Lonchura striata: one gene and its partner. The protein of the gene in region 1 binds, or shares a complex with, the protein of each later gene. Links are inferred from orthologs where the notes say so. Each region holds a gene or a part of one and is shown on either strand. Other genes may lie near its edges.

Region 1 (7,788 bases):
ATTGTTCCTCTCCACTAATTTTTTCAGTAGCCCAAGCACACCCAAGGTGAAGGCAAAGCACTACTGTTAACACTTTCTGCCTCTAATCAGTCACAGAACAGAAGGAAAGTGCTCCAGAAAAACAGATCTATAGCTAGAAATCTACAGAGGCAGAAGAGAAAATTTAAGCGTACAGGGCACCTATACTACAGTAGTAGAAAATAGTAAGAATTGCTTTAGGTTACTGGCTTTTCCTTGAATATTTTCATCAAGAATACAACAGTTCTTTAGCTCTGGTCAATTCATATTTTCTTTCAAAAAAAACATCCGATGTTCTTCCACTAATACTTAGGTAATTTCAGAAGCACTGAAAGCACCAGAATTACAAAAGAAGATGCAATGAGCACTTTCTTTTGAAAACAAATTTGTAGAAACACTATTTCACAGTCCTAAGCACATTCTTACTTGCCATCTTCCCTTACTCTCTTCACTGAATCTCCTCATTTTCTCCCCTTTTATTGTATTCTTAGGGCTGAAGGATCCAGGAGGGAGAAAAGGCAGGAGATGTTTAGCATGTTTGCCCCCTGGTTCTCAGGTAGAAATACTCAGATACCATTCACTTCTTAGCCCAGTTAGCAGTTCCAAGCGCCAAGCTGGTAACATAAACATGGAGTTGCCCTAACAGCCACCTTCATTAAATTATCCAGTAGAAAAGATGGGCCACTTAAGAAGTCATTTACTTCCATATGCACTTAGGAAAAAGAAAAGTACAGACATGCTATATTGGCACCTCCTTTTCAGAGTCCTTTCAGCTAACCTAGGAAACTCTTCAAACTTCAGCACTTACTATAACTTAAGAGCTAGAGTAAAGGTACTTCATTGTTACAACCTACTAACTGTGTTTCATGACTTCCGTAACTTCTTTGAGGTAATGATTTCCCTTAACACCATGGCAAAGGAGTTAAGTGAGGAAAAACAGGGACAGCACAAGGAAAGCTTGAAAATATACTTCTGAAATAACACAGAGATCAGAGAGGTTTGACCTCTAAATTCTAGCTGATGAGAAAAAAAATTGACCAAAGCAAAACAAACCAGCAGAAGTTGATAGCCACTAAGCTATGATCATCTTAGAAGAAAAAAACACCAAAACCAAACAACCCACTGCCACTAAGCACCAGAAAATACAAAATGTTTCTAAAAATACAAGGTCATAAAACACTGAACAAAAGCCAGGAAATTCAGAGTATTAAATTACACATCCTTAAATCACTCGGTGCCTCCTAGAAACCTGCTTTGTAGTCATCCAGCTCCTTTATTACCTTTGTACGGTGCATTAAACTTAGCATTTTTAACAGAGTATTTTGCGTGTAATAATAAAACCTCTCTATTAAAAAAAAGTCTGAGAGTACATTTAATCCTTTCATGGCAGCCAAATCCTGCCATGTGTTTGTGTTGCCGTTTTCCTCCTCCGATTAAACAGTAACATATTTATCAAGATTTCCCTTGAATTTCTCCACTGCAAACTCTGAGAAAGAGTAATTGCATGGCTGTTTTTTTCCCCTCCCACTACGTTCATTTGACTACAGACTGACAAAAGATCCAGTTCTTCACAGCCAACTCAAAAGTGGCTTTGAATCCACAACACTTCTACTTCAGGACTTTAGGCCTAGAACACCAGATGTGACTGTGTTTTTTCAGGTCAGAGTGTAGGCTTATGTTTCCAGGTTTTATGACATTTCATAACAATCAACACAAGTTTTTCTTCTAATGATTCTCGCTGATGTTATTTTTTAATACAAAAGCATACTGGTTTTTACATTTTATTTGAAAATTTGTAACTTTAACTGTGAAACGTCTAGGAAGAAAGTTTCAGTCACCTTCATTAATATAAGTCCTATTGTCGTTCCTTCCCTCAGATCACTCTGTGCAATAGTTAGGCAAGACTATTACCAGTGACTTTAAAGTAATTTTTTTTTTACAGATTAAAAATAAACCGTGTTTTTCTCAGTGCTTTCCCCTCCCGTCATTTCCGTGTTCAATAGCTTAACGTTTGCTGCTCTTAACTGCATTTAACCCTTGCTCTTCTCGAGAGGTGAAAAAAAAAAGCAGCTACTTCTTTTTCTCGCTCATTACCATAAACAGGACACGTCATGCCGAGCGTCCTTTATTCTCCTGCCTCCGACCCAAACGTTCCGGCGATACCTGAATCCACGGAGGAAGTCTCGGAGTTTACATAATGCCCACTCCAGAAGCACAAGGAGGCGGGGGCGGCCCCTTGTGTCCCCCCCTTTCCCCGCACGGCGACAGAAAGAAGGGGGGGGGGGCGGGGGGGAGGGGAAAAGAGAGAAAAATAAACCTGAAATAAGGGAAAACAAGCCCCTTATCTCCACGCTGCGGGGGGGAATTTAGGCGATCGGAAAACAGGGAAGAAGGAGGGAGAGGAGCGTGTGTTATTTCCTGTTATTGTTACTCCTGTGGCCACCGCTCGACGGAGGGGTCGGGCAGCCCCCGGCCCCGGGGGGGACAGGGGGTGTCGCGGCGGCCCGGGCCGCCCCTCCTCACCTTTGTAGTGCACCCGCAGGTTGTTCTGCGAGAGGCCGATGTAACTGAATTTGTCCTTCGGGCTCCAGGAGCGGGGCAGCGGCGTCTCCTGCTCGTCCACGGCCGGGTACAGCCTCTTCAGCCGCCGCTTCAGCTCCTTCTCCTGCTCGTTCAGGGCCGGGTCTCCGTGCGGGAAGGGCGCCGGGGCGCCGGTGCCGCTCCCCGCCGGCAGGCCCAGCGCGGCGCCGGCCCCGCCGCCCCCCGCGGCCGCGGGCCCGCCGCTGCCGGCCGTGGCGGCGGCGGGCGGCGGCGGCGCCGCGGTGGCCGGAGGCGGCGGCGGCGGGTGGAGCAGGAGCGCGGCGGCCGGAGCGGGGCCGGGGCTTGCGGCGGCGGAGGGGATCCCCGGCGCCGGCGGGGGAACGGCGGCCGCCAAGGAAAGCTGCGGCGACGACGGCTGTTGTTGCTGCTGCTGTTGCCCGGACATCCCGGCTCCGGCCTCCTCCTCCTGCTCCTCCACCGCCACCTCCCGCGGCGGTCGCGACTGTCACCGGACGGGCCCGGGGGCGGAGCGACGGGCAGGCCCGGGGCCGTGCGGAGCGCGGGTCACCCCCACAACCGGAGCGTCTCAGAAGAACACGGGGGCGCGGGGTGGGGGAGGATTGGCGGTGACGGCGGCCGGCGGAGGCGCCCGATGGGAGCGAGGGGCGTCGCGGGGCGCGGCGGGGCCGGGGGCGAGGCGGGCGGAGCGGCGGCGGCGGCGCCGGGCGGAAGCGGGAGGCGGGCGGGGAGCGGGCGCCGCGGCGGCGGGGCTGGCTCGGCCCCCGGCCCCTCCTCCGGTCGGGGGCGCGCCCGGCGCGCACACGCTCCGTCCGGCCGCCAGCGCGCTCCCGCCGCCGCGCGCCCCCGCGTCTGCTGAGCCGCGGCCCCGCCCCGCGCCCTCCGCTCGCTCGCGGCGGGGCGGGGCCTCCGCCCCTCGGCGGGCGCGAGGCGCGGAGGGCGGGGCGGGAGAGCGACGGGGCGATGGCCGGGGGTGGGACTGCGGGCACCGACCGGGGGCACGGCCGGGCCCCTTGGGTCTGCTGCTGCAGGCACCCGCGCGTCCGGAGCTGTTGGGGGCTCCCTGGCGTGACCCGGACCCGTGGCGAGCTTTGCTCTCGCCACGGGTCCGGGAAGGTGGAAGTCTGAGCGACCCCCCGAGGGTAGTGGGAAAAGGGACACTGACCCTCAGGGGATTACTGGTGTTGCTGCCGAAGGCCAGCCCAGTGGTGCCTGTCCCCTAGTTATGAAATGATCATGGAATCAGAATATACCACTGGAGAGCTTTGTCCAAATGTGTCCTGAACTCTGCTAGGCTTGGTGCTGTGACCTCATCCGTGGGGAGCCTGTTCCAGGGCTCAACCTCCCTCTGGGTGAAGAATGTTTTCCTGATCTCTACCCTAAACCTCCCCTGACACAGCTTCACGCTGTTTCCTCGAGTCCTGTCACTGGCATTACAGTCGTGAGACTGTAATGATAATTCTCCTCTCGGTGTTGACCTGGGCACATCAGACCTGTTGAAAAGATTTCTGGTGTAACGCGGACGTGTTGAAAGGTTTTCTCTGGGACAAAGTCAAGCTGACGCTCAGAGGGGTAATGGGGAGAGAGGCATTAACCCTCAGTGCATTAATGACCGATGCAAAAGGATTGAGTAACTGGAGTGAGTCCAACGGGGATTGTCCCCTCCTGGTGAAATTATACAGTTATGCTGCCTTCTGTTGTGGGTCATGACATTGAGCTGGAGAAGAAGGAGAAGGAGGCATTGCTCTGCCTCCATTGGGGTTGACTAGGGATGGCGGCTGGGGAACAGCTGGAGACAGGCCGGTGTGTGCCGCCGGGGAGGCTGCGTCTCCTGACAGGCACAACGCGGGTCTGCTGCCCACACCTTGTGTTCAGCACTACAGTTGGTATGGGGAAACGCCACTAAGAGCATTTCCCAGAGGTGAGAAAGTTTGGGAATGCCTCAGCTCAGGGGGACAGGAGGAGCAGCGCAGTGTTTCTAGGGGGTTTTGTTTGGGGCCTGTTTCCCTTTGGTTTGTATGTTGCTGGATGGTTTTGTTTGTGCTTAGTGTTGTTGGTTATTCAGTGGTTGCCCACACTAATATATTCACATGGCAGCAGTGAGAGAGAAGTGGTTTACAGATTGGCAAGCTTACCTTGGAAAACATTAGAAAAGGAAAGTAATGTCACTGGCAAGTCTAGAACCTGTGTCCAGTTCTGGGCTCCTCAGTAGAAGCAAAACAAGGATCTTCTGGAGAGGGTTCAGCAGAGACCACAAAGATGATGAGGGGTGTGGAACAACATCTCTCTTATGAAGAGAAGCTGAGGGAGCTGGGCCTGTTTAGCCTGGAGAATAGAAGACTGAGAAGGCATCTCATTAATGCATATAAATATCTCAAAGGTGGGTGTCAAGAACATGGTGCCAGATTCTTTTCAATGGTGCACAGCAACAGGATGAGGAGCAGTGGCTGTAAATTAAAACAGAAGTTTCACCTGAACATGAGGAAGAAGTTTAAACTGAGGATGGCAGAGCACTGAACAGACTGCCTGGGGAAGCTGTGGAGTCTCCCTCTCTGGAGACATTCCAAACACACCTGGATGTGTTCCTGTGTCACCTGCTCTAGGTGACCCTGCCTTGGCAACAAAGTTGGACCGGATGATCTCTTCCAACCCTAACAATTTTGTGATTCTATGAACCTGAAATATTGATCACTTCACAAACCCTTTTCCAGTTGCCAGCATATTGGAGTATAGGCACAGAAGCAGGAAACAGAGGAGGTTAATTATGCTTCATCTGTGTGAAATGGCATGTGAGGTAATGGAGGTGTGACACTAACAAAGGCTTGTATGAAGCTAAACATTTCTCACCTATAGTTACCAAAATATCCTGTCACATGCAACTGCTTGGTGATGTCTAATAGCATTTATGGCTGGACAAAATGCAGTTATCTAAAAATACCCTATCAGGAGGAGCTGCAAACTGTACAAGTGTAGAAGTGCCTAGGATAGATGTTGAAACATAAGCTGGACCATGCCCGAGGGTCAGTTACCCTGGCACTGTAGGCTCCCACTATATATAAATTTGCTTTCTAATATCTAGATGTTGTTGTAAACCATGAAGCTTGGTTGTTTACATTTTCATTAAAAATGTAAGTATTTGGCCAACTATAGACATTGGGAGATACATTTGTTATGTTCATAAGTGTAGATGTGTCTTAAGTCTTTTGTGATTATCAATAAAATTTCTGCCATATCGATTTCCTCAGTGTGTCTCACTTCTAGCATTTGTGCCAAAATGCTTCATGTCACCATTTGAGATTGCCACCATGAGGTTTCTGTTTCTTGAACAGTAAGACAGGAGAAAGATGTTTCTGCACTTACTTCTTGACATTATTTGCTACTTTGCTACTCTGGTTGCTCTTATCACATCTTTTGCCATCTTCCAAGGATAAATAATCCAAGTGTAGCAGAACACTGTTTTTTATAAAAGTTTGTTCTCCAAACTATGCCCATAGACAAACACATTCACATCACTTTTTCTGACTGCACACTATGCCAGAGGTTTTATAGAGAATTCTAATAATTGGCATTAACCAGTATGTTATTTATTCCTCCTGTGTTCTGCTAACTTTTCTGACTACAACTTTGTGAGGATTAGAAATAGCAGATAGATATTTACATAATGCCCAGTTTACTTTCCAGTTTAGTATAAATGAATGGAAGCTTGTCAGATTTCGAAGTGGAACTCACGTCCCTCCCTAATGTGCGTTGTTTTGCATTTTCAGTATTGAATTTAATTTGCCATTACATGGTGCATTCTGTTTCGTTAGCACTTCCTCATCATCACAGTCCCCTCTTGTCTTGCTTAGCTGAAATAATTATGACAGCTGCAAATGTTGCCATCTCACAATACAGCCCTCTTTCTAGATCAGTGGTAAATACAGCAGCAATATGAGACATGCCGCAGAGCCCCGAAGCTGGCTGGCATTAACCTTCCACCATCATAGAAACTTGCAGTTCAATTCTGCTCTTTGTTTGCCATCTCCAGTTTTTGAACCATGATTGTACTTTTCTTTTTGCCCAGTGATTATTTAGCTGCTTGAGTCCTCTTGCTTAGAGATTTAATCAAAGGCCTTTTGAAACACTGTAAAACATTGACTAGTCCACCAAAATCGCTTTGTTTTTTGGGGGTAGTTTCTTTTTTTGATGCTTTCAAAGAATTTCAGTAGATGGATCAGCTAAAGATTATTTAGCTTTGCAGAAAGCCATGCCCCCGTTTTCTTAGGCCTAATTTTGACATTCAAATGCAAACATTCTCTTCTATATGCTTGGTTTCCATTTATGTTTACTTTAAGGGACCAAAGAAAATTTCTACCAAAGAAAATGCGATCCAAGCATTCCAGGCACTGAGGGTATTTGTTTGGCCTCTCGTTGAGCCTATCAGCAGGGAGTCAACGTGTGGAACATGTGTTTTAAAGTGAGTGCAGGTGATCAGTCCCTCAGTCCAGGAGTCATATCCTCCAGATAGATGTGCTTCGTGGGCATCAGCTGTCAGTACACCCATTGCTCTCCTCAGGGAATCCAGAGCCAGAGGAGAGGGAAGAGCAACTCTGGCTGACACCCTTCAGGCAGCACCAGTAAGAATAAAACTGTCCTGATGGCACAAACACATATTCTCACAACAGAGCTTTGTGCACAGCCTGATGTTGCAGAGGTTAATTTAGCTCCTGGATCCTGTGTTAGCTGCTCTCTGTGTTTTCATTAAGAGTGAGTAAGTGGGCTACGGCCATCTGTGCCAGTGATGCCGATAGCATTCTGGCTGTCATCAAGAAACAGAGGCAGGATTCTCCTTGGGAGTCTATTTCTGTATGTGTCCTTTGTCCCTGCAGTAGGACCAAGCCTCCTAGCTGCACATGAATTTAGTACTTGTGCTGTGGCTGCCAGCCTGACACATTTCCAGCCACTTCTCTGAAATTTAATATCTCCTGTTTGTAGTGATGGTAACTTGTTTGCTGTTCTTTGTTTAGTATTCCTCCCAGTTAAGATTTTCCACTGCATAGTTTCTTTGTAACTGTTTTGGAATTAATATTCCTTCTAGAAGCTGCTTGGAAATCAGCAGTGTGCTATTTATTATTGTGCCTACTGAGCTGATTTACTGGTCCTAGCAATAGAAGAAAACCACTAAGAAGTAGGCGATGACATTTCAACAGTATGAAGGATAGATCTCTTTAA
Region 2 (7,413 bases), on another chromosome or scaffold:
TTAACACCAGGAAAGAACATTGTGCTGGCCCTGCCACCACAGTGGCAAAGGCCGTGCCCTGGACACCATCTCCTTTTATTCTGCCATAACCTTTCCCTGGGCAAAGGGAAGAGACATCCACCCAAGCCTGAGAATTCTGTGTCTTTTGTGGGTTTCACTGCCTGCTGCTCATTCAGGTCTGGAGCGAAGCAAACCTCCCTTCACTTCTTTATCTTTCGGTGTCATTCAGATGATTCAGGCAAGATTAAGTGGGATATAAGGATAAAAACGTGAGGACAGTGCACAGTGTGGGCACTTTGAAGTACTAAGCCTGATTTCTTTTCCTGGTAACAACAGCTAGGGATTAAATCATTAGAAGGTTTGGCATTAAAGAAGTTATTTGTGCTAAGGTGGAGCAAGCAGCTTATGGGACAGCACAGTCAGATCCTGAACACCAGTGGCACTGAAGAGAATCCCTGCCTGTGACAAAAGCAGGTCAGGGCCTGGCCTGCAGATTTAAAACATAAACCTCCACACTTGGAGCAGGAGAAGAACAACATTCCAGTCACTCTCCTGCCCTGAGGAGAGGAACCAACTCCTCACTGGCCCAGCCCCGCTCACCTTGCAGGGCCCACATGTTGTAGGATGCCAGATGGCTGACAAAGGTCTCCTTGGTGCTGGCTGGAATGTTTGGCCCCAGGATGCTGGTCGAGGAGCCAATTGTCACATTGTACCTGGAATGATCACCCAAACCCTTAGTAAAGCCCAGGGGAAAGACCCAGGGCTCATGGAGCTTGTGGCCCTGGGACTTCTGAGCTCCTGGGCTGAGCAGGGCAGGGCCTAAAGCAGTCAGGAACCTTTTGAGCTCTCACCTTTTCTCAGCCCAGGTGATCACAGGATCCCATTCATTCTTCTGTAGTTCTGCCAAGGCTGGAGGCTCCTCCACACGATAGCTGGGACATCACAGAACAAAACCACACTGGATGGTCACTCCCAGGCTAGGACACACCTCTGGAAAGGCCACTGACCCCACCAGACCCACAGCAAGTGGAACAGGGACCTGCCGTCCACCCAGGCAGCAGTGACAGGGAATAATCCCCCAACCCTGCCCTAAATTCAGTGTTTTTTTGTTATTCCAGGAAGGACAATTCTGTCTTACTACAAAACAGAGCGGTGAACCACCCAACTGAAAATTGCAGGCAGCCCCAAGCCAGACTGAAGTTAGAGGGTACAAACCCCACTGCAACTCTCTGTGGGGCCACTCCTGCTTCTCCTTGCCCAGTGGCTCAGCTCAGCATTCCCTGCTCACCCAGTCTGACCAAAGCCACAGGGGCAGGTGGGGGAAGCCTGTTCCTCTCTCCACAGGAACTGTGCAGCTGCCAGTGGAGGAGCCTGGGCATGAACAGGCTTGATGCTACAGCTCATGGGGACTTTAAGGAATGAAGGGCATTTTGGGACTGCTACAAGTAGTCTCAGCTATCTGTACTGGCACAGGAATACCAGGGACTGGCTGACAGAGCCCCACAAGCCTTTCAAAGGTGTTTTCTTTTCTCCAAGATCTTCATTTCCCACTGATCTCACCCTTGCCCAGCAGGGAGGTGTCCAAAACGGAGTTCAACAGAGGACCAAATCCAATTCTCCTTCTTTGGGTGCACAGACTGCAACCAGGTTTGCACATTCAAACCCTCAGGCAAAAACCAGCACAGAGCCATGCCATGACTGGGTGAGTGCAGATGTCTTCCCTCACTTTACCCAACCCTCTTTCCAAAATCCAGCTGGGTCCCCATCTCGTTACCAGACTGTGTCTGTCTCCAGGAACTTCACAGCTGCTCGGATCAGCTGCGTTTTGTTTCGCTGCGTGGGATTGTCCAGCGCCGTGTTGCACAGAGTGGTCTGGGGATAAAAGCAGTTGAAACTGCTGTTATTCCAGGCTTGAAAAAGCAGCAACTTCCATGGTACAATGCCAAGAAGAAGCAGAGGGATCTGTGGCAAATGATCTGAGGGGTGCAGGGTTACAAAATGGCTAATGTAATAAGTGTCTTCTCAAATCTTTCAGAATCCCTGGAAGCAGCTTATTAAGCAGCAGGGAAGAGGGGCCAAGGATTGCTCCAGAGCTCAGTTTCCTCCTGCCCCTAACTATTCCAAATAACACTGTCCAGCCCCTTCTCAAGTTCCCCTAAGTGACACAGATTCCCTCTAGACAGGCACCTGGCCAGCCCAGAGAAAGTCCTTTCTGCTCATTAGGAGCAGGACAACCTGCTGCCTCCACATTCTGCATTTGGAGGTCTCAGCACTCCACCCTGCCATGCTCACCAGGTGCATTGTGTAGAACTTGATGGTGTCTTTCTGGGAATCCCACTCTGTTGCCACTGCAATGGCCAAGGCCTCGCTGGGGACAGTGAAGAGTTTGGCCTGGGGCGTTTTCAGCTTTCGGTGGTCCAGGTTTATTTCAAAGCCTCCTGGGGAATCAGAGTAGAAATCCTGGGGAATCAAAGAGGAGCAGGCACTAAGGAACAACAGACAACCCCACAGGAGGAGCAGATTCAAAGTTATAGAGCTGAGAGGAGCAAGAGACCAGGAACACTCAGGTTTCCCACCATCACTTGGATACACTTGGTCCTGGAAGCTGGTTCCCACCATGCAGCTTTGCTGTAGATGAGGAGGGGGCACAGCAGCTGGTGACAAACCTGCCACTGACACAGCTTGGGCTGCAGGTGCTGATGTGGGGTGGGGTGATGACACCTCTCCTAGGGATCAGCTCCCCCATCCCATCCCATCGGCCATACTCACCTTCCCCCTGCGAGATGCTCACGTTCTGGTAGAACCTCTTCCTCTCTAGGGACAGAAACAGAAGGCAAAGAGAACATTCAGAGGGCAAACAGAGAATGTTCAATGCCTTCCCCTGCTCCCCATCACAGCTCAGAACAGACAGAGCTTTGCTGCTGTCGACGTGGTAACAAAAATCCAGCCCTTCTTCCACAGTTTCCAAGCTGTGAGCTGCAGTGAGCTCCCCTCAGCAGGGAGGCACCAGGAGCAACGAGAACCAGCTCCAATCCTGCCAGGCTGGGGGCTCAGCTGCCTCAGAGTGTGGCAGGGCTGGTTTCCCAAGCAGGCCTGTCCCACCTCTCCTCAGTTCTGCTTCAGGGTCAACCTTTCCAGATTCTACAATTACAGTTACACTGGATAAATTAACCCTCAAAGGACACTGCAGCCCAAACATCTCAGTCCAGCTCAGGAATATACCTGTTCCACCAACAAGATGAGCCTGAGGAAACTTCAGGTCTCATTTTAGGAGCAGCATCCTTTGCTACCAGCACTCCTACCGCCGTGAGAGCAGGATTACACCCATCCCAAAGGCTCACACCCCTCCCACAAGGCAGGAAGAATCCACGAGCCATTCCCCTGACAACAGCAAGCAGGCTGTAAATCCCAAACCCATAAACCTGTCTGGTGAAGGACACAGCAAACAGGCCAGGCCGCGGGTCTGCTATTCCAGGCTAAAACCAGCACATTCCCACTGAGGAAATAGAAGGATTTGCTCAGGCTCGGCGACCTGTGAGCTTTGGGGCCTCAGGCACAGTTCTAAAAACAGATTAAAGTGTGTGTACCCCAGAGGAGCCCCGAGGCTCATCAGTGACTCCCAAAACTTTGTCATGAGTCACCGCGACGCTGCAGCCTCACCTCCGACAAAATGAGATTAATTTTATTGTTTTTAAACCCACGTGATGGGATACGTGAGCCAGAACATACCTGAACCCCCTGGTCTGAGTCCCATTCCCTCAAAATCCCTAAAACCCAACAAAACACAAAAACAAGTGTAACAAACTGGTTCAGCGAGGGCTCGGCCGTGCTGCCAGCGAACCCTGCCCGCTCCAAGGACAGGCTAACACCAGGGAAAGGGCGCCGGGGACAACTCCAGCACCGGGGCCGTGCTAATCCCCGCCCTGCCCTGGGTGACCCCGGCATGAGGGTCCCCGGGGGAGGATCCCCCTCCCCAAACGCGGCTCCCTCACCTGTCGGCGGGGCATAGGCCCGGCGCCCACATGACCCCACCGGGCCGCTCCCAGCATCTGCAGGAGGAGTTCTGGGGAGCCGAGCGGGCTGGGAACGAGCCCACCACAGCCGGCGACAGCCGCGCCACATCGCGCCAGACGACACCACCACGACCACCCCGTCCGCACCGCGCTCAGCGCCGCTCCCTGGGCGCCGCCATCTTGCCGCCGGCCGCAACCAATCCGCGCCGCCTCCATTTAAAAAGAAACTACATTTCCCAGCAGCGCCGGGTGGCACCGCAACCAATCAACGCCCGAGCGTCGTTGCCAGCAGCCAATCAGAGCTAAGGGACGCCCCTCAGGCACGCGCGCCGAGGCGCTGCCAGGAGGCCCCGACCCGGCGGCGGCGGCGGCGTGAGGGAGCGGAGCGGAGCGGGCGGCGTCCCCCCGGCCGCAACCCCGGCCCCGGCCACGCTGGCGCCCGGGGACCCTCCCGAGATGCCGGTTCGGAGCGAGAGGCACCGCAGTGGAGGGGCGGGAGGTTCATCCTCCTCCCCTGCTACCGGAGCGGCCGCCAGCAGCTTAGTACCGCCACCCCCCATCAACACGGCGCAGCCTGGAGTGGCCACTTCGCTTCTTTACAGCGGGGCCAAGTTCCGCGGGCAGCAGCGCAGCAAAGGCAACGCTTACGAGGTGGAGGTCGTCATGCAGGTGAGGGGGAACGGCGTGGCGAGCCTGGTTTTGGCAGGGTGGGAATGGCCACCGCGGCCTGAGGCGAGACGGGGGAACCCCGGCTCGCCTCAGGTCGCGGTGGCCATTCCCACCCTGCCAGCCCCTTGTGACAGCACCCGCATCACCCTACCCCTCTATATTAGAAGGAATTTGTCGCAGAAAATATCACTCTAAACATCAGAATATCCTACTTAATGATGTGGTGGAATCACCATCCCTGGAGGTGTTGGAGGAAAGACTGGACGTGGCACTTAGTGCTGGTGAATCAGTCACGGGATGAGCTCAGCTCTTTTCCGACCTCAGTGGTTCTGTGATGATTCTAAGCTTTTTATGGTCATTTCTCCACGTTTCTGGTGGGATTTGTGCCCTGCTGCACGCTGCCACCTCGCAGGGGCTGGTTGTGGTTTTGTGTTTAAAAACGCTGCTTTTTTTGTCGAAAACGTGGCTGATTTGCATGTGTCAGCTGAAGAGAAGGGGGCTGCCTGCTCTCCCTGTGCTGAGCACGGGGAAACGTTGCTGTCCTTTGATCACAGGTGGAGAAGATCCATCTTCTCACGGGTGGAGGTTTGTACTTCCCTGAATAACTCACTCTAGATCTCAGAGAAAAGAAAAAACCCCTTGGAAAATCCCTGCTTTTAAAGGAGCAGGCAAATCCTTGCCTAATTTCTGCACAGCACAGGCAGAGAGATGCAGCCTGATAACTCAAAATGCAGGTGGCATAAAAGCTTTAAATTTAGGAGAAAGGCTTGTAAAATGCCGGGGGTGTGGGTGATTCTTCCAGGGATGCTTTTTCTTGGAGAATACTGTGAATCAGATCCCTTCCTGCTGGAAAGGGGATTTGCTTCCTGCTGCAGAGTTCTTGGGAGCAGGCCTGGGATGTGGAGGCTGCCAGAGGTGAGCTGGGCACCTGCAAATGATCTTTCCAGGTGGTTCCCATCATGGAAAAGGGCTGTGAATATTGGGCAGTGGGTACCAGCTGGAGCTGAAATTATCTTTGGAAGGGTTAGAAACTGCTTTGGGTCAAGCATGCACCTTCATGCCTATTTTTATGGTTGGACTTTGCACTCTTTTCCAGCATGTGGATATGGAAAACTCCTATCTCTGTGGATACTTGAAGATTAAAGGCCTTACAGAGGTGAGTGTTAACTGCAAAACAGCACAAAAAGGGGCTCTGTGAAGGCTTTTTTTTTTTTTTTTCCTGGTGGAGTGAGAGAAGCTGCTGCCAGAAATAGGAAGCGGAGGGTGTGAGCATGGTGTAGATTTGATCAAAGGGGATCAGCTGGGGAGTGGTGCTGGCTGTAAATGCCACAGGTGATCATCCAGCTGGGAGCTCCATGGAATCATTTACAGTTGGAAAAGCCCTCTGAAATCATTGAGTCCAACCACTGACCCAGGACCCAGCCAGGTCCACCACTTCCCTGGGCAGCCTGTTCCAATGTTTAACCACTCTTTTAAATTGTTTTTAATATCCAATCTAAACCTCCCTTAGTGCAATTTAAGGACATTTCTTCTTGTCCTGTCCCTTGTTCCCTGGGAGCAGAGCATGACCCCCACCTCGCAGCCCCCTCAGCTGCTTATGTTCCAAATCCTTCCCTGCAGCCCAGCTCTGATGTGGCTCCTGGCTTCATAAAATGAAGAGAGAGGCAGAGAAAGGCTGGAATAAGAGCGTGGAAGAGTCAGCTTGGAGAGGTGTGGGGCAGGATGAGGGATGGGAGCAGCAGCCTCAGATGGCCCAATCTCCCTGCGAGATGCTTTTTGCTGAGTGCATGGAGCTTTGTCTGCTCTTGAGTTTGTGCCTGTAGGTGACTATTGTGACCCCACCTTTGTCTCCCCTCTGCCAGGAGTACCCAACCCTCACCACGTTCTTCGAGGGCGAGATAATCAGTAAGAAACACCCGTTCCTAACGCGCAAGTGGGATGCCGACGAAGACGTGGATCGTAAACACTGGGTAAATAAATCTGGGGGCACAGGGTGGCTCTGGGCTGCTGGTCTGGGGGAGAGGGGCAGTGTGTGCCCATGCAAGAGCTGGCAGAAAGGCCTGGAGACCTTTTTGCTGTCTCCTTCCTTTTCCCCTGGGATCTTTATTTATAAAGGTCTCTTCAGCAAACTGTGATCTGTGATGAGGGAAGGGATGTTTTGTTTTCTACTTGTTTGCCTCGGGGTTGGGAGGAAGCAGGAGCAATCCCTGTCTCTTGATCCCCTAAGAGAACACAGTAATTAGTTTTGGAGATTTATTACAAAATGGAATGGAAAAGGGGAAAGGGATCCCACAAGCACAGGCAGAGTAGTTGGTACCTGTGTCCCTGCTCAGGGCAGGGTGTACCTGTTGCTGTGTTGTGAGGCCACAGCAGCCCACCTGATCACCCCCCCGCCCTTGACCTTGGCTGTTGTTTGCCAAGCTTTGATGTTTGTTGTATTTCTGTCAAAATATCCTCCTCTGGAAGTACAGGAGCTTCTTCAGCCAGGCTGGATATTGCTGTGAGTGTCAGTAGATTTCCCTCCTAAACAGCAGCTGGTACTAGAAGTTCTATTCCTGGAATAAACATCCTGAGCTGTTTTTTTGTTGTTGTTTGTTTTGTTTCAGGGAAAGTTCCAAGCTTTTTACCAGTATGCAAAAACATTTAACTCTGATGACTTTGATTATGAAGATCTAAAAAATGGGGACTATGTCTTCATGAGATGGAAGGTAAACCCTGCCTGTCTCCTTCT

The links.
Region 2: the proteins of RANBP9 (region 1) and GID4 are in contact, whole or in part, in a cryo-EM structure (PDB 7NSC), measured with the Homo sapiens proteins. The link is inferred for Lonchura striata from reciprocal best matches to the Homo sapiens genes RANBP9 and GID4. Residues at the interface, in NP_005484.2 of Homo sapiens: Ser223, Lys224, Gly225, Arg226, Asp227, Gly228, Tyr229, Met230, Gly256, Asp257, Thr274, Phe275, Thr276, Thr277; in NP_076957.3 of Homo sapiens: Leu187, Arg189, Asp194, Glu195, Asn216, Asp218.

What each region holds. Positions count from the first base shown.
Region 1 is NC_134603.1:89,018,993-89,026,780, forward strand, and holds the start of RANBP9 (ran-binding protein 9), read right to left. Parts: upstream 3,005-7,788; coding exon 2,542-3,004; intron 1-2,541. UniProt on the Homo sapiens protein: May act as scaffolding protein, and as adapter protein to couple membrane receptors to intracellular signaling pathways. Acts as a mediator of cell spreading and actin cytoskeleton rearrangement.
Region 2 is NC_134618.1:15,650,390-15,657,802, forward strand, and holds the start of GID4 (glucose-induced degradation protein 4 homolog), read left to right. Parts: upstream 1-4,375; 5' UTR 4,376-4,469; coding exon 4,470-4,682; intron 4,683-5,778; coding exon 5,779-5,838; intron 5,839-6,544; coding exon 6,545-6,652; intron 6,653-7,288; coding exon 7,289-7,390; intron 7,391-7,413. Other genes in the region: ATPAF2 (ATP synthase mitochondrial F1 complex assembly factor 2), read right to left, coding at 601-713, 852-932, 1,775-1,872, 2,293-2,438, 2,770-2,814, 3,993-4,122.